4 linked regions of the Arabidopsis thaliana genome follow. The protein of the gene in region 3 interacts with the protein of the main gene of each other region in a pairwise test. Each region holds a gene or a part of one and is shown on either strand. Other genes may lie near its edges.

Region 1 (5,539 bases), on a different chromosome or scaffold from region 3:
GTCGAAGATCGGATTTATGAATAAACACCAAATATATAGAAACAATGTGGAAGAAGAAGAATACTCACCGGAGACAGAGACGGAGATGGAGACGGAGACGAAGAAGAATCGTTGACAGAGGGGAAAATGCGAGAGAGGGTGGAGGAAGAGTCAGAGACGATTCGGAGATAACCAGAAGTTCTGTAGAGGGAGAAGCAGAAGCAGATGAAGAAGAGCAAGAGAACGGCTCGGAGTACATTGCCGGAGCACGGTGGGATTACGACGGAAGTTACGGCGGCGGCGGCGGAGGAAGAATGATTCTCGTCGGAGTAAGAATCGTTGAGTATCGCCGTCTTGGAATTGGAGCCAAAACGGTTCGATAGATTCATCTTCGCCGACGTTGACGACGTTGGTCATCGTCTGGGCGGTTATAAGGTAGTTTCAAGTTTTTTGAATGTAAAACGCGGCGTTTAATGAGTTTACCCTCCAACGATGAAACGCAGCGTTTAATGGGTTTTATCTGCGAGATTATTTTTTCTACCGTAGGATTGCCGACCAAAATAACAATGAACATTCTAAACCGTAGGATCTTGATATAGAAACGCTGCGTTTAGGGGTTATCCTTCAAAGATCAAAACACTGCGTTTGGCTCTGTTTGTTAATTTTCCGTTCAAAGGCGATCAAAACGCTGCGTTGATAATTTATCTAAACTTCATTTTCTAGGTTTCTCTACTAACATTCAATATCCTAGTTTCAAAAACACATCCGAATAGTTTCTCTGAACCTAAATCTTGCATAACTTATTTAGCTACCGAGGAGAGAAATTGACAGATTAAGATCAATCTTTGAAGAACCAAAGCAATCTTTGGATACGAATGGTGCTGAACAAGTCGAGACTGCTGCTTCACTCGTTTCGCTCACCACCGATGATCCATTGCTTCTCCAATGATGATGATTTAACGACAGAGACAACGACAAATCTTCTTCTTCTTCTTCGTGTTCTTGTTCCCGCCACTCCTCTGTTCCCTAATGAACCAAAAGACAAAATTAGTTACCAAACCGGACTAAAACCGGTTAAATGCCATTTATATGAAACTAATTAGATTCAATGACAAGTAGTACTTAAACCGGACTCAATCCCTTTGGATTTGACCAGTCTCAATCAGACCGGTTAGAACTCATAACCGGACTTGATTTTGTTTTGCAACATTAAATTTCCAAACCGGTTGACAAAAGAGAAATTTATTTATACCTTGGGGAAATGATGTGACAAAAACGTCGTCGTATCGTTCATCTTCTTGATGTGAAGAAAGTCAGCATCATCATCATAACCACCAGACTCTGAAGTCTGCTGCTCTTTTGTTCTTCCTCCTCCTCCTCCTCTGCACCAAAGTAAAAGGACAATTCAAATACAGACAAACAAAAAAGCAAAACACTTTTTTTTTTTTTTTACTGAAATAAAATTAAAAAACTTTGTCAGAAAACAATTATAAATAAAAATAAATACCTAAATGAAGAATGTGAAGAAAGAGGAAAAGAGTGAAAACCCAAAAGACAATCATTCCTTGTGTGTAAAGACAAGTTGTCATGAAGATAATAATCTTCTTCACTGTCTTGTCTTCTTCTTATTGAAGATGATGAGCTTTCTTCTGTGTAAGAAACAATAAAAACTAGTTAATGAATATTCTCTTATTTTCTGTTCTATTACTCTTGAAAAATATATAAATGTATTTATGACATTTGTCTTATGAATCATGACACTAGACCAATAGTACATACTACAAACAGATACAGTAAAATAATTAAATTCCATCCATTATTATGTGTTTGATGTTAACAGTTCAAATTAAAATCAACGGTCCCATTCTTTTTCCAAATATCATCATTGATTCATTTCATAATTATAAGGAAAAAAATAATACCTGGTTTCTCCAAAGTGAGCTTTGAACCTCCTCTATACATCTGTTTATATATATGTTCAAAACAATCAAAACAAGGTGTTATGAATGAAATATGAATAAAGAAGAAAACAAAATTGATGTTTTTGGTAAAATTAATTACTATTTACCTGAAGGTGGCTTTTGACATGTGAAATGGTAAGTCCCTTCACATCCATCATCTTAAGAACAAGTTTTGGTGTTGCTCCTGTTTCATCAAACCCAACAAAATATCAAAAAGGTGACTATGATGATTCTTTATGAAAAAAAACAAAAACTCAAACTTTATGAATGAAACAAAACAACAAAAGCGTGAAGGTTTTGACTCGGTAACTTGACAAAGATGATTCATTACGATGATGAAGATAAACAACACAATAAGGAAACTTCAAACCTTTTTTTTAGCATAAAAATCCAAACTTTGAAGATAAGAATGAAACAAAGTAACAAAAGTGTGAAGATTTTATTCAAAAACTGATTTTTTACGATGATTGAGACAAAAGAATGAGAAAAGTCCAATTTTTCTAGTTATATCGTAACTTTAGGATGTTTGAAGCAAACAAACACACAAAAGTTTGGTTTTTTTCACAAAAGATTTGAAGAGAAAAAAAGTATAATAAACTTACGGTGTTGACCACCGAGAATCTCGACGGCGTGAACGAAACAACGGTGAAGATCCGGCGTCCATCTAAGCCGTGGAACTGGAGACCGTACGTAAGGTCTAACTCCGTGAAATTTATTGCCGTTAAAGCTTCCGTTACCATTTCTACCACTAGACTTACCCATATCGTTTCAAGAACCCTAAAAACCGACACAAAGATTCGATTTTTACTTAAACCCAAGAGAAAAAAAGGTTTGATATGTTTTGGTTCTGTGAAGAGGAGAGAAAGAGAAACGAGGAGAGGAGGATTTGAGAGGTGTGTGGGTTGGGATTAAAAGAGCAAGTTTTTGTTTTTGGCTTCTTTCTTAAAGATGACTGTCTCTTTTTCCATCTATTCTTTTTGTCTCTTTTTGGATTCATTCATACTTATTATTATCTCTCTATATATGTTTTGCAAAATTCCAAAAAATAATTATTAAAACTTGAGAAATGTTTCATTCATTTTTTTTGTTAAATATCAATTTGAGTTCTTACGAAAAAACTACATTAATTAAAAGAGAGTTATAATTTTGTTGTTTAAGAATTGTTCATGACATATACGTGAGGAATTTGAGGATACGTAAACTATCGTAAAGTCAAAATTTCATAATCTGATATGGTTTATGGTTGGGTCACTTATTTAGACGATTAAACTAGCAAATAAAAAGAATGATGTTATAAAATTGGTTTATTATACTAAACAGAGAGGTGACATGTGTTTTTTGACCTACAAGCTTGTAGTAATCATACGAAAATCCATTTGACTTTGGTTACAAAAGTAGTAATCATACGAAAATCCATTTGACTTTGGTTACATTAGTCTTGACTCGTGACCCCATTCATTATTATCTTAAATAATTTTTTTAAATAGTTTTCGAGAGAATCATTGCATATCAACGTACCAGAGAACTACACAAGGCTACATACATAACTTGCATGAAAAGAACATAGATTCGAGTATTACCCTTGCCCCGATCGATATATAACCAATTGAACATACATTTGTTAGCTTAGCTGGTCAAAAGAATATACTTGTCATAGAAAAACCAAATTTTGTAAGAACACATAATATTTACCTTATAGGGATTTGGGATTTACCCAAATGAAGAAGTTTCCTCCACAGTACCTCAAACTTTACTTTCTCACTTTTTTCACGATAGGTTTTAGACCAAAACGAATAAATTTAAATGAAAATAGCCCAACTGCTTAGCTTTGACCATATAGCATAATTATTATTCCTATTTTTGTTTTTTGTTTTGTTTTTTTAGGGTTTCGTGTTAAACTTTCTGATTTCAAATAAATCACACAATTTTACAATGGTCCTTCGTTATGTCTTTTGGACCACCGTTTTGACTTCATTCCCCTAATTCCTTTACATTTTCTCCCATTTCCCATTCATTTTCCTTCTTATTGTTTTCTTTTTCACTCCCATAATAAGTGATAATAAATCTTAGGATAATATTTATAACAAGAATTATTTATTTTCCCCATTTTTCTTTTTCTCATTGCTGATTTGGTGTACATGGAAGACGAACCAAAACCATCATGTCCCTATATGGTAGCCGACAATAATTACTGATTTCGCCAGTTTTTTCCAACCATGGATTCAATATTTTAATCAACGAATTGTGGACATAAATCACGTTATTTTATCAGCTATTCTACTATTAACTACTTATATTAACATCAAATACTGTTTTTAAATGATGTATGTATTTCTTGTAAGAAATTAAGTACTAGTATATAATTTTTATGTAGTATTAGAAAGTAATTGATTTGTACTACATACTTACTCGTGGTTTACGTGGTATCAGCCATAATAATAAAAAAATAAGAAAAAGCCGATTGAGTATTAATTAAGAGAACAAAATTTAATAATTTATAATTTAACAAAGTCGTCGTCTTTATTCCACACATAAATCAGACATTTCTATACCCAACGAAAAAAACAATCAAATAATAAAATCTACACACAAAGTGAGGTCATTGACCTTTAAAATGTAGCCTATTGTGCTTTGCATTTTCTTCTCATTTATGCACATTCTCTAAATTATTATAAAAACGTGGAATTCTCTGCATATATGCCAAAATTCGCTTTAACGATTTTAAAAATGGTTTAGTGTTTGATTAGACGGTAATTAAAATATAATATTCAGTCACCAGCTTGTCAAAGACACACGAGTTGCTTATATTACCTATATATTGACTAGAAGAATAATACAAAAAGCTACCTAGGTTATGATCATTGATCAAAATAATCAAGTAAACACATTCCAAAAGGTTTTATCAGTGAAACAATTTTACTATATTCACTAATAAAGCCTTTTATTATCCTACTGATGATCATTGATCGATAAACACAATTGCATGGATGGATAAAATGTCTAACCGAGAGTTCAAGTCTCAAAAATCAAAATGGTTAGTACTAATACATGTATGAGAGAAAGTGGAAGCAAATGAAAATAATACATTAAATGAGTCTGGCAGAGACAAATAGCTCCAAGAGAAATTGAATGAGTAATTGACTGTGGAGGTCCATGATTCATGGCTTTTACCACAATCAAAACATTCAATAATTCTCTTTGCTTGTTTTTTTATTAATATTATAAAACTTTGTACATACATGTAAGATAATGTAACCCAACTGGATTTTGGACTATAAAAAACATAACATTCTTTTTTGTGTGTGGAAAATTTGGATGTGCAAATCTCACCGAACCATTCGACGATTATCAATGTTAATTTATTATTCTATTGGGTCAATTTTCTCATCACCCATTGATTGAATTCAATCATAGCACATGCAAGAACAAGGCAAATTCTAAGATGGTTAAAGTAATATAAAAGGTGTAATCCATGAAACACCTAGAGAGAACAGAGAAGAATTAGCCTTTTCACACCTAAAATAACATTAAACAAAAGTGAAAGAGAGTTGTTTAAAAGTTTGATTTGGGAATGGTTGGGCCACCAAAAAAATTACACA
Region 2 (3,395 bases), on a different chromosome or scaffold from region 3:
ACGTGACTGGATCCATGTAAAAAGGGGTTATACTTATAACTTATACATAAAGCGAACGTCTCTTACGAATCTATATATCTCCGGTGAGAAGTTAAAGCGGTGGAGATGGGAGTTGCGGCTTTGACGTGGTGGAAGAAAGCGACGGAGCAGAGGACAGAGGCAATGAGAGCAAAGAATCCAAATCCGATCATTAGAGAGACACCGGCGACGATAAGATCCATCGCCGTTTGAATGCTCATTATGCCCATCATCTTCAGATTCTTTAGTTTTAGAAATGGTTTGGATAATGGAACTATTATAAGAGGGTGAAACAGAATGGCATAGCAATTGCCTTTGGAAATGGTGAAACAGAATGCATTGCCACCACGTTACGTGATAAACTCAAATTTACGACACCTTGAACTAATTCTTTTAAAATACAGAAATACAAAACAAAACCGAAACTTTTTTTATCCAAATTCGAACTGAACCTAAACTTGGACTAAACCGAATTAAAATTTGCTTTTATTTGATACTTATTTTCAAAATTCATTGTACTAAACCAAAAAGCCTAAACCAAACTAAACAGAAAAACTGAATGTCCATGCCAAATTATTATGGTCAAATTATTTTATGGTAATATCATAATAATAAGGATATAGTTTGTCAAGCTTTGAATAAAACTAAATCAATTTATGGGAGTATGATAAATTATTTGACGACGGTTTTTAAAACTATAGTGATAAGGATATAATTAATGTTTTGGCTTTGGATAAAATTGAGTCAGTTTATGGGAATGTGATAAATGATTTGACTATTGTTTTAGAAATTTTACAATAGTCGTTGATTGAGCCGAATCTAAATATCGTTAGTAGATAAAGACTTGTCAGATTATATATGAACACTTTCTTTTGGAAATATTTGGTTTATAGACCCGTAACAAGTTCAGACAGGGATCAAGAACATTTCGAAAGAGACAAAGATGATGCATACATCGATATGGACCTGTTTATTTATTAGAACATGAAAATATATAGTTTTTATTTTTTTGTAACCAAAAAGTTTTGGACCATAGGTCCGAAATTCAAAACAGAGCAAAGTCCCCTGAACACCCCCAATGACAAAATTCGAACCTGAGATCTAAAGAACACTCTCTTTAGGTTATATTTTTGGTAAAATATATTTGATTATATTGTTATAGATTCATTTGAGATGTTTGTATACCTTGGTCCTCTTCTTTAAATAAACAACAAAAAACCAACAAGCTTACGAGACGATTAGAAGGTCCAGATCTGATCGGCCTCTACGCTAAGAAACCTATTAAGCCCGATCTCACCAATCATCTTCCTCGACTTGGAGTTTTCCTCTCGAAGTTTCATGTTCTCTTCTATAACCTTCTCGTAACATTCCCTGGCTTGGCTTAGCTCATCGACTAGAGATTTGTTCTTATTGATGAGTTGAACAAGCATGGACCACAGTTCTTCCATGTGACGCTGTTTCCGCATACGCGATCTCCGAGCTGACTCGCGGTTCGATACCTTCCTTCTCCGCTTCCTCTCATTATCTTCTGCAGTCCGGCTAGAGTCGTCTGACGTGGCAGGCAAGTTTGAAAGTGGTACTCGATCAACAAAGATTTGGAATAAAGACTGTGGATTAGGGTTTTGACTTGGAAGGTTATAGACAGAACCAGCCATGAAAAAAACAGTTATGCGTTCTTTAAGAAAATTTTTGTTGACAAGTATGATGGTATAGATCAATGAAATGCACTCTAATTTTGGTTTTTATAGATGAATAAATCGAAAGTAGTGTTACCTTACACTAATAACTAATCCAAGTGGCTGAAGCATACGTAAATTTTAATAAAATAGAAGGAGAAGAAAAAGAGAAGTTCTAATCGTGAGATTGATGAGTCATGAAGCACTTGAAAGGTGAAAGTAAGTAGATGGCATGAAGGGGACCATTGCGGAGAAAATCAAAGACTATATTATAAATTATTCAAAGAAAGCGTGAGAGGTAGCGACTCGTCGACGCACCATGTTTCTTTTCGAGCAACCATATCTAATTTTTTTAAGAGCGTACTTTATTTTTTTTATATACGTAATTATTCGATAATCCAATGGTTTATGAAATTTGTGGGTAATGATGTAGCATAAAGTGACTTTAGTCCTTGTACATAATTTATAGTGTTAAAGAGTTGACAATGAAGAAATTTTACCAAAAACTACTATAGTTCCTGAAGCCTAATTGCGAGAGTTGTGGTCGGATAGCTAAAATGTGCTTTTAGAAATTTTGCATTAGGTAACATGTTTTTACCAAGTCAAATAAAGTCTAGTGAATGAAAATAATATCTTATAGCTGGGATGAAATATATTGGCAATTTTTTTTTTGGATAAATACTCTAAATATATTGGTATTTACCTTCACCATTTAGAGTGAATGTCACTTGGGGTTGGGGTATCAGATTGGTTAAATTTGCTTTATTAGGCGGTAATTTTTAGTAGCAGTTATAAATAATATTTTATCTAAAGTAAGGATTAGAATATTGATGTTTTCTGCTAGTAAAGAAGTTTCCTAGATCCACTTAAAGCCAATCATCTTAGTGGCGTGATGGTATCAAACATATATAGATGAATGTTTGAAAAACTCGAGAGTGCGAGACGCATCAAATTGCAAACGAGTCTGTTCATATTATAATGACATGTTGAATTATCTTAATAAGACAATTTTAGCCATCTAGATGTTAATCGGCTAACTATTTTGCTATAGAATAAGGATTCATCCAATAACATCAAAATATAGCCCTGTTATTCATAATTTATGTAAGAAGAGAAAATACTTTTCTATGACAATTAAGCGAATTAATCCATTAGCTGCTCCAAGGGGTAACTAATGAAAGTCAATTAAAGCTTCAAGTGACGTATCACATACTCACAATGAAACACTTATTTTGCTGATGTTATGGACCATTATGGTTTTATTGATTAGAAAGCAAATATTATAATGTGAAACTCTAGTGGTAGAGATTTCTTGCTTGTCTTTTACTAGTTTCCAGCTACTCTTGTTTTGTCCGTTTTGGCTATTCCACGATCTACAACTTTCGGGTTCATATCAATGTCCAAGAGGATATTACTAGCAATTCCTCCTATGATGTGAAATCGTCTAGTGCCAAAAATATATCAGTTTTAAAAGCATTGGTTTAACTTACCAAGCATAAAGTAATGAAGACATTACTTTTTTTTGGCACAAACTCATAGAAAAGTATTATCTATGATTCTTCAAAATAAAACCCAAGTAGTTTTATGAGAATTTATATTTTGAAGCTTTGTCATACAACAACTTGTTGTGATAAACAACCAACTAGATTTTAATCCGCGGTACACCGCATGACAATTTATTTTAAAAATTAGTTTATATAA
Region 3 (4,415 bases):
ATGTGAGAAAATAAAAATGAGGATATAATAAACAAGTGTACATAATTTGAGGATTTATGACCGTACTTAAAATTACTCGAAACTTCTTGAACTAAAAATAATATAAATTTTTTGTTTAGACTAAAATGATCATTTTTTACGATAAAGATACATGTCGAGTAATTATTAAGAGTATCCAAATTATCCGTTTGAATTGTTAAAATATTTAAAATTATTATAATTTTCCGGCTACTAAAAATTCTCTAACACTTCACAAGATTATTAAAAAAAACTCTCTCTCTCTATTTGTACTTAAAATAACCCAAATTTGACCCATTCTCATTTGGATAGCGATTTTTAAATTATTGAATTTATCTACCATATCATATCTTATCAGTTGTTTCCAAAACTTAGAAGTGAAATTAAATTGGTTATTTATTTTTGTTTGTAACATAACTAAATCAACCATCAAGTCAATCTCGAACAAACAATTGTTATCATCCATTATCCAATATTAATTACTTTTTTGTTTTGTTTTGTTACAAGTGAATACTATTCACATGATTTATAAATTAGTATTATTATTCACTCCACAACATTTTGTATCAGATTAGGTTTCAAGTTTATAGTTACACAAAAAATGGATTCCGAAATCTTTTAGATTAAAAAAAAAAAGGATCAAAAGTTCAAGGTACACAATCTTTTTATAAAACTGCCGACATGATGCCATATCGCTCATGATTGCATTTATTTTTTTGCATTAGCTCACAAGAATGTTAAAAATTAACGATAAGAAAATCCATTTAATTAGGGGGTACGAGTACGAAAATAATTAAAACAAATATTAGCGTTTGGTGGTGCATAACTCAGCATAAGTCATAAAATAAATTGTTGTCACGATATGTGAAGAAAATCTCGTTGCGATGAGACGAACGACATAAAGAAAATCTTGCGTATCTGACAAGTGGACTAATCCACTTATTTTCAATGTCAGTCTCAAAATGGGAGTTATTAAAATTAATGTTCGTTCTTTTTATTTTATACACACATTTATTTTATATATATATTTATATTATATACAGTAAAACCTCTATAAATTAATAACATTAAAACCATAATATTTTTAATTTATAGTACTATTAATTTAAATGTCTTTGGGTATTTTAGTTGGCAAAACTCAACTAATTACAGGTAACTTTCTTTTGTGATGTCGACAAAAGAATTCTGAATAATTTTTAAGGGTTTCGATTTTTGCCATTTCACGTAAAACACGTGATACTGGGCTACTGGCATTTACGGCAGAGTAACTGGTGGCAAATATTATTACCAATATACTATAAACAAATAAATAAAAAGAACAAACACTAGTATTAAATTTTGATTGTTTTATAACTCAATTAAGTTTTGATGTCAAAGTCTACTTACCAATCAATTACCTCACTGATTTGTCTCCTTTTCAATCTTTTCGATTGTTTTATGGAAACAGCTTTCTAAAAAAGATTAATTTTCACGTAATCACAAAACAAATGTTCACATTAGCCCAAATCTAATAACCACATTAGGTTGGTCCCAAAAATTTAAAAACAAAAAAAAACTTTTTTAGACAGAGAGACCAACTTCAATACATTTAGTTTCATGTATTTTAAATAAGATTAGTATCTTCGTGTTAATTTCCAAATTCAAGCTTATAGTAAGTTAGTAATAATGTATATAATGACGTGGCAAAGGATAAATGTCTCTTTAAATGCACGTAGCAGCCGGAGGAGTGACCCACCTACCTAGTGTTAAATTCTCCTGCCGGAGTTTGGTCCCCACGCGACCTTCTTCTTCACCGGAGTAATAACGCGCGTGAGCTCCACCGCGTCGGGACAAAACTAATGTCCTCTCAAAAAAGCAAAAAAAAAAAGAGAAAAAAAACCAGAGATGGTGAGCTGTGTGAAAAGGACCCCACCACACCCATGTGCTTCTCCTTCCTGTCTCCACCAGCTCCCTCCTTCTCAATCATTAGCTTCTTCTCTTCTCTTCTCTCACAGAGAGAGTAATCACAAGCCAAGTGAGAAAAAGAAAACACTAAACCCAGATCGAAAACCATGTCTATTAACAACAACAACAACAACAACAACAATAACAACGATGGTCTTATGATCTCATCAAACGGAGCTTTAATCGAACAACAACCATCAGTCGTTGTGAAGAAACCACCGGCGAAAGATCGACATAGCAAAGTCGATGGAAGAGGGAGAAGAATCCGTATGCCGATTATATGTGCTGCTCGTGTTTTTCAGCTAACGAGAGAGCTTGGTCATAAGTCAGATGGCCAAACAATTGAATGGTTACTTCGTCAAGCAGAGCCTTCTATTATAGCTGCAACAGGAACTGGTACAACTCCAGCGAGTTTCTCAACTGCTTCTGTCTCTATCCGTGGAGCCACCAATTCTACTTCTTTAGATCATAAACCCACTTCTTTACTTGGTGGTACGTCACCGTTTATACTTGGGAAACGTGTTAGAGCTGATGAGGATAGTAATAATAGTCATAATCATAGTTCTGTTGGTAAAGATGAGACCTTTACGACAACACCAGCTGGGTTTTGGGCTGTTCCGGCGAGGCCGGATTTTGGACAAGTTTGGAGTTTTGCTGGAGCTCCACAAGAGATGTTTTTACAACAACAACATCATCATCAGCAACCATTGTTTGTTCATCAGCAACAGCAACAACAAGCTGCAATGGGTGAAGCTTCTGCTGCTAGAGTTGGGAATTATCTTCCGGGTCATCTTAATTTGCTTGCTTCTTTATCCGGTGGATCTCCCGGGTCGGATCGAAGAGAGGAAGATCCACGTTAATGGTTTAAGCCCTTTTAGGTTTGAGGGCAAAATTTGGTATATATATTTATTATCTTCTCTTCTCTATTGTTGTCATTGTTTCTCTATGTGTGTGTTTTAGTGTTGTTAGAGATTGATTTGGTTTCAGAATCTCTGCAAGTGATTTGAGAGTTTTCGTTAGCTTTAAGTAAGTTAAAGACGGTTGTTTTTGATTAGGGTTAAATTAGGGTTTAAGAATCTGTTGTTTTTTTGGAGGGAGATCGATTTCTTATCGGATCCAAGATTACTTTTAGGAAAAAAGGGAAAATTTCAGAAACCACGGTGGTTTCTTTTCCTCTTTTTTTTTTTGTGTCTGTTTTTTTTTTCCGGTGAAACAGAGCCGTCGATTAAAATTTCAGATATATATTTAAATGTTTTAATATGGTTTGTTGTTGTTGTTGCTAATTGTGTAATGTGTTACAACAATTGTGGTGAAGCATTTGCGTAAGCTGTTAACCACGTTTATTTCTAATAAATGTTTCGAATTCATATTGTTCCTTCCTTCTCTGCATTTATTGATACACAAAAAGCTTTATGTGATAGTGATTGTTTCGTTGAAATCGAACCGGATGATGGATTTTTGAACAGAATCATAATAATCTCTTATTTTTTTAGTGGATATATGTATGAATTGTGGATTTTGAGATGCTATTTATTTTTGGCGTTTCGCGTCTTGATTTAATGCAAGAACTGAACAGAGGATTTAGTAAGAAAAAGAGACAAACCAGTTGTGTCTGAATTCTTCAATTTTGTTGCCTTTTTGTTTCATATGAATCTTTGTACTGTGCTTTTGGAAGTTTGGTTTGTCACGTTAGTCAGAGAAATATTAAATTTAAGTACTGTTAAAACTATATGGCGACATGATATCTTTAAATTAATTGTCTATATTTTTGTTCTAGAAACTGTTACAATTTGAAAGATTAAAGGTGTTAGAATTGTCTCTTCTCTTGTTTGAGATTAGCTATCTAAAAAAATGTGGGTGATACACTCGAACATGAGTTCAAATGGTTGTTTTAATTTTGGCAAAAACCATTTTCACTGTTGTAATAATTTGGACTATCAAAAAAGTAAATTTTATTTTAACCCCTGATATAGTATAATTTCTTATGCAAAGTATATTTAAGGTACAAATAGCATAGATTCAATGATTTCGTTTGTGGTTTTCACAGCTATATATCTGCTGAGTAATGTATTTAACCAATAATTTATTTATCACGATAATACCTGATGAATAAATGTCAAAGTGATTAGATAGGCTTCTTTAGACTATTTAGGTCACACTAACCAATCAAAAGAATCAAACAAATTTTCTCATTAAAATAAGAATCCATTAATGGAAAGATCTTAACAAAAAGTTGGTGTTTTTTCTTTCTTAATTAGGTCTTAGTAATTAACACTTAGCTATATAATGTAATGCAAATAATTATAGGTGGGGGATCTTTGTAATCAACTCGTATCAATAAAACATCCGTACCTTTTATTGTCGAATCATCTAAATGACCCCAACACCAATAATTGATATGGTCCCAATTATTTTCTACCGAAAAATAATTTCTATAGGCTGGCAAATAATTC
Region 4 (5,332 bases), on a different chromosome or scaffold from region 3:
TCTCGCTAGCACATTTACTTTTCTTTGATCCATCCCAAGCTGGCAAATATCAGCCTACATATGTAACGAAAATGGTTTAACAGTAGTCACAGAACTCATCAGCCAGATACACAAAATGTAACATTACATTGATAAAATCTGCAATCATATACAGCTTATTTCTAGCCTGGAGCTTTTATCAGGTGTTTTATCAACAATATAATAGACTTTCTGCTGATGTAACGCTTAAGCTAAATTTTTTATTCCGAGTAACTAGCAGCAGAATCAAAGACAGTTCATAAGCAAGCAAAGGCTTAACAGTACCTCAAGGAAAAAAATATCTGCACATTGCATGCATGGGTAAAGGATCTGGGCAGCACTCAGTTCATCAGTCTCACTACGTCCCATAATCTGCACACACCTTCAAGGACAAGAACCAGAGTCATTCAGGTCCCATCATTTCCCTCACATAATTACAACGTCCCAAGAATGGAGAAGATTTAGAAAAGTAACCTTAAGATTCTAGGGAGCTTGTTTTTGCGAGCAATGTCCATCACAAGAGGCCAATACTTATCTGCCTTAGAATTAATTTCTTCGGACGACCACAAAAACTCTACTTTGTCATTATCCATCCCAGCAGCCTTCCATATCTCTTGAAAGTATTCTCCAACCACTCTGATTTTCTTCAAGTCACCACCCATTTTGTTGTTCAACTGAGCAAACCAATCAGCAATCCAAATCTTCACTCTGCAACCAGCTGAAGTCATTTTGTTCACATTGATGACTTTCATCACTCCCTATTAAGAAAACAACAGAACCAAAATAGATTAGCCAACGCTTCCTTCCCACATATGGTAATGGAACAAAGGAAAACTAACAGACCTGAGCAATGTGCATTCTTCCTGATGGTTCAAAGCCGTCGTAGCAAATCGGAGCAGCCTTCTTAGCAAGAAGATTCTTTAGCTCTTCCTCTTGTATACATTCCTCACCGATACTCCTAACAATTTTGTATCTCTTCTCAACTTCTTCACTCATCCTGAAGAATTAGTAAAATTTCAATATCTACCAGACCAATAAGCAGATAACAAGATCTTTTCAATTTTAAATTCCATACTTCTAAATTGCTATAGCTTTTTCATCTCTTCCACTCTAATCAAATAATATAATCCAAATCAAAATTGAAGCGCGAAAATGAAAAAAATTGATGATTGGTAAGAAAACTCACTGGAATCCATCGGACGAAGAAGATGCCTGAGTTGATGAAACGGAAACAGCTTCCATCTCCGACGACAGAGCATTGACGATCTCCGAACTTTGGTCTGCCATCAAATTTAGCCGGCGGCTCCTTCACAAAATTGCGAAATTGCGGAGGATTCTTAGGGTTTACCAGTGGCAGTGATGGAGACAGTTAACGTGCAATATAGCACCACTACGCTTCACGATTTTCACGGTTTGATTCGATTCTCTTTAATTTTGTTTTGGTTTAATCCGGTTACTATAAAAAGGCAACGATGTGTTAATTTAGGAAATAGTTGGTAAAATTTGGAATTTAGTATGGGCCTTAATACTAAAGCTTTAATTATTTAGGAAAGGCCCATTAGATATAAAATAGTTCGGTGGTCTTTGTAACAATGGTGGTTTCGATATACCAAACGTATTCTCGGAGATCATCAGGACTCAACAGCGAGCTTCGGACCCCGATCACGCCGCAGTATTTTTTTTTATCAATTTACCACTCTCTGCGTTGGTTACCTCGCCGAAGACTTCAAGATGTCTGATTCCGACATGGACATTGATGATGATGAGGTCGAACAAAAGGTGCAAGTACATACAATTGTAAGAGAATCTGAATTGTTTGATAAACCACCAATTCAAGCTTCCAATTCCCACAACGGTTAGTATTTGAAATTCGTGATTGGTTACATGGTATTGTTGATTAATTCTGTCAAGTTCGTGTTTTTATTGATGGAAACACCTTTTCCAATTTGGAATTGATGAATTTTGTTCTAGAAGAAAGAGAGAATTGTTAAATTGACTAGATTTAGCTCTGATTAGAGGTTCAAAGACTTGGCAATTAGATTTTCACTGAAGCTCTTTTGTAAAAATTGTGGCTTTAATACCAAGTAAGCAAATTCAATTCTCAGAGTTTTGTGCTTGTTTCTGTAAGGAATCTCTTTTGTTTATTCAAAACAGCAGTTTTGCTAATATGTACTGATTAAACTTGTCTCATGTAGATGTGAAGAGGCATTCTGTAACAACACCTTTAGATGAGCAATCAAAAATCATAAAGGAGCAAGCTTTTGCTCAAGATAATGGTACTTTACCAAGGTATGGCAAAAAAGTTTCTGCTTAAGTTTTGCTGAAACTAAGTTAAGAGGTTGAAGCTTTTATACTGACAAATTCGGTTATCAGATTTCCTGCTCCGGGTATACCGCCAAGAAGCTTTTTCACTGGCGGTGGTGGGAATGAACCAGAACAAAAACGTGCAGCTCTTCCCTGCAAATTTTTTGCTAAAGGGTGGTGTTTCAATGGGGTGTCCTGCAAGTTTCTACATGTGAAAGAGAATTCAAATTGCACTAGTCAACAACTGGCGGAAAATAGTATGGCTGGAAACGGTGGTATCCGGTCTGATCTAGGTACGTTGTACCATGAATACTTATTCTTGTGATTCTATGTGGAGGTAGTTCCAACAATATAGAGGCCGGTGAATATCTATGGGGTTTAATTACTCTTTCTGAATCAACCAATAATTTATTTTGCTTATGTCTATTCAGAAAGAAGAATTTTGGACAGCAGAGAAGGTGTAAGAGTTTCCCAGTTAAGCGAAAACGGTGTGACATCGTTGCCTACCAGAGAGGATATATCTTTCATGAATCCTCAGAGAGTTTTCTCCTCCATGTCTTTTGTGAATCCCCCAGGTTCTCAGAGAGTTTTCCCGTTCAATAACGAGATGCGCTTTATGCCTTCATTTGAAAACATTAGAAGAGAGAGTTTGAAGCAAACGTATGGTGCTGATTTCACTGACAACAGGTCTCTAGTTATTAATAACGCCAATTCCTTCGCATTGAGAAGCAGCTTTGTTCATGAGCATAGACCTTCTATCAGTTCCTATTTAAAAACAGACATGGGATCTGCTGGACCAGCCTGGACAGGATCATTATCCAGTTCTGTTCCTATGAATGATCGTGCTTCTACGGTGGGGGATTTTGAAAATGGGAATAGTTTATCTGGATCCGGATCACTTCCAACGCTGCAAGGGGTAGCTGTTTCTTCTGATAAAGGCGCAGAAGCCAACACTACTAGCACTAAAAAGAAAGTTTCTTCAGATGACTGGGAACCTTCTGAACCTTTTAAAGCATCTTTTACAATTCCACCTTATATTCTTCCCTCGTCTGATGCCCTCTACGATCCTTTCACGGATATAGAGAATCTAGGAGACAGACCTCTTAATGATTCATTGTCAAGTAAAGGAGAACATGCACGGAAAAGTTCCTGCCAGCAGAAAGATGGTGATTCTGCTAGTGGTCCCCAAGCACGGGATTGCAAGAATGATGATAAAAGCAGTTCATGCAGTCAAAATCAACACCAAGAAACCGTGGCAAGGAGTTTGGAAGCACATGGAGTAGTGGAAGGGGTGGCTACGTCAGTGGTTGATCAAAATGATACAGCAACGCCTAGCAAAGAGATTTCTTCGGCTACGGCTGCAGAGAATAGAGTTGTTTTGAAAAGAATCAAACCTGCAGGGCATGATTCTTGGCATAGAAGTGATGGGTCTTCATATAAAAAGACAAAGAAATCAGATGAGATAGATGGTGAAGTGAGGTCAGATGCAGGAATGAAAGTAATGAGACTATTCCGGACTGCAGTTGTGGAAACCATTAAAGAAATGTTGAAACCGTTGTGGCGTGAGGGTCGTCTAACTAAAGACGTGCATAACATGATAGTTAAAAAAGCTGCAGAAAAGGTAGTCGGCGCCGCTGTCCAGTTTCATCAGGTGCCAACTGACACAGAATCAGTTGATCAATATCTTGGTTTGTCTGGAACCAGAATTGTGAAACTTGTCGAGGTGAGTTTCTTAGCTGGAAATAAAAGACACTTAAAGCAGGTAAAAACCTAAGTAGTAAGTATTGCATAAGCTAACAATTCTTATGTTCATTTGCAGGGGTATGTCGAAAAGTATGGTAAACCCTGAGTTATCAAACCAAATGTCACTTGGTGTGGCATGAGCTCAAACTGATGAGATTCCTGTACATTATGTCATCCTTCTTTTACTCAGTTATAGATTTAGTACGTAGCACCTAAATTCTTTGGAACTCCATTCCTATCCTTTACCGATAATGGAATAAGGTTGGAATGGGAGCTTGGTGGAGGAAATGTGTACACATTGTAAAACTCTTCAAAGCTTAATTTATGCTTAAAACAGTTTTCTTTTACCTTTGGGAATATGATTTAGAATGTGATCTTTAGAAGTAATGTGATAAAGAATGGTTGCCTTGGAAGCAGAGGAAAAGAGAAAGAAATGGAATAATGTTGAGGTACGTTTCCTAACTATTTGATAAGTAATTTAGCTTTGTGAAACCAAGATTTTTCAAATTAGAAGTTAGTTTTAGTTTTGTATTTCTCCATCAATATAAGTAAAACCTCTGTAAATTAATACTCGGTAAATTAATAACCTCTATAAATTAATAATTTCTTCCAATCCCGAGGTGAGACTAATGGAAAAAATGACATAAATCGATAAATTAATAAGATAATAATTTTTTTGAAAATCCTATGTAAATATATGGTCTCATTAATATCACAAATTAATAATTGCAGAAATGTATCAACTATATATACATTATATGTAAGAAATTTCTTTAAAATATATTTCTAATATTTTTTTTTGCTTAAATTTGTATTTATTCTTATTTGATATTGAGTTCTAATATTTTATTGTATCAAAAAATTTTGGTGTTGTTTTCTAAATATGATATTACTTTTTACTTGTAATTGATTCTTAAAAAATATTTTCTATAATGAAAAAATCTTAAATTTTTTTTAAAAGTTAATAAATTAGAAAAATATCTCTATAAATTAATTAATTAATCGATAAATTAAAACCTCTATAAATTAATATAATTTTTCGGTCCTAACATTATTAATTTATAGAAGTTTTACTGTAAGTAGAAAGTGGTTTTTGGTTTAGGATAAAGTGCATACGTTTTGTGTACAGTTTTGGAATTAGTTTTATCTTTTTCAAACATTTTAGTGAATCATTTGGACTATGATCATTAGGACATCATGAACTTATTATCTATGGTGGGTTTGTGGAAAACTATTTGATTAGAGTTACTGTTGCTTAATAATATTA

What was found.
Region 1: the proteins of AT5G23280 (region 3) and AT2G02060 interact in a two-hybrid assay, tested with the Arabidopsis thaliana proteins (one large-scale study listed by BioGRID).
Region 2: the proteins of AT5G23280 (region 3) and bZIP interact in a two-hybrid assay, tested with the Arabidopsis thaliana proteins (one large-scale study listed by BioGRID).
Region 4: the proteins of AT5G23280 (region 3) and FES1 interact in a two-hybrid assay, tested with the Arabidopsis thaliana proteins (one large-scale study listed by BioGRID).

What each region holds. Positions count from the first base shown.
Region 1 is NC_003071.7:492,854-498,392, reverse strand, and holds AT2G02060 (Homeodomain-like superfamily protein), read right to left. Parts: upstream 3,649-5,539; 5' UTR 3,633-3,648; intron 3,013-3,632; exon of another isoform or gene 2,718-3,012; 5' UTR 2,703-2,717; coding exon 2,543-2,702; intron 2,349-2,542; exon of another isoform or gene 2,311-2,348; intron 2,125-2,310; coding exon 2,048-2,124; intron 1,942-2,047; coding exon 1,902-1,941; intron 1,629-1,901; coding exon 1,487-1,628; intron 1,362-1,486; coding exon 1,232-1,361; intron 1,006-1,231; coding exon 784-1,005; 3' UTR 615-783; downstream 1-614. Other genes in the region: AT2G02061 (Nucleotide-diphospho-sugar transferase family protein), read right to left, coding at 69-368.
Region 2 is NC_003070.9:25,893,243-25,896,637, forward strand, and holds bZIP (basic leucine-zipper 8), read right to left. Parts: upstream 1,815-3,395; 5' UTR 1,674-1,814; coding exon 1,257-1,673; 3' UTR 729-1,256; downstream 1-728. Other genes in the region: AT1G68877 (chaperonin 60 subunit beta), read right to left, coding at 63-251.
Region 3 is NC_003076.8:7,840,948-7,845,362, forward strand, and holds AT5G23280 (TCP family transcription factor), read left to right. Parts: upstream 1-1,659; 5' UTR 1,660-2,069; coding exon 2,070-2,822; 3' UTR 2,823-3,702; downstream 3,703-4,415.
Region 4 is NC_003071.7:14,310,984-14,316,315, reverse strand, and holds FES1 (Zinc finger C-x8-C-x5-C-x3-H type family protein), read left to right. Parts: upstream 1-1,601; 5' UTR 1,602-1,749; coding exon 1,750-1,873; intron 1,874-2,213; coding exon 2,214-2,307; intron 2,308-2,391; coding exon 2,392-2,615; intron 2,616-2,753; coding exon 2,754-4,045; intron 4,046-4,141; coding exon 4,142-4,171; 3' UTR 4,172-4,604; downstream 4,605-5,332. Other genes in the region: AT2G33840 (Tyrosyl-tRNA synthetase, class Ib, bacterial/mitochondrial), read right to left, coding at 1-54, 304-400, 493-776, 862-1,015, 1,205-1,305. UniProt on the Arabidopsis thaliana protein: Transcriptional activator involved in the FRIGIDA-mediated vernalization pathway, but not in the autonomous flowering pathway. Acts cooperatively with FRI (FRIGIDA) or FRL1 (FRIGIDA-LIKE 1) to promote FLC (FLOWERING LOCUS C) expression.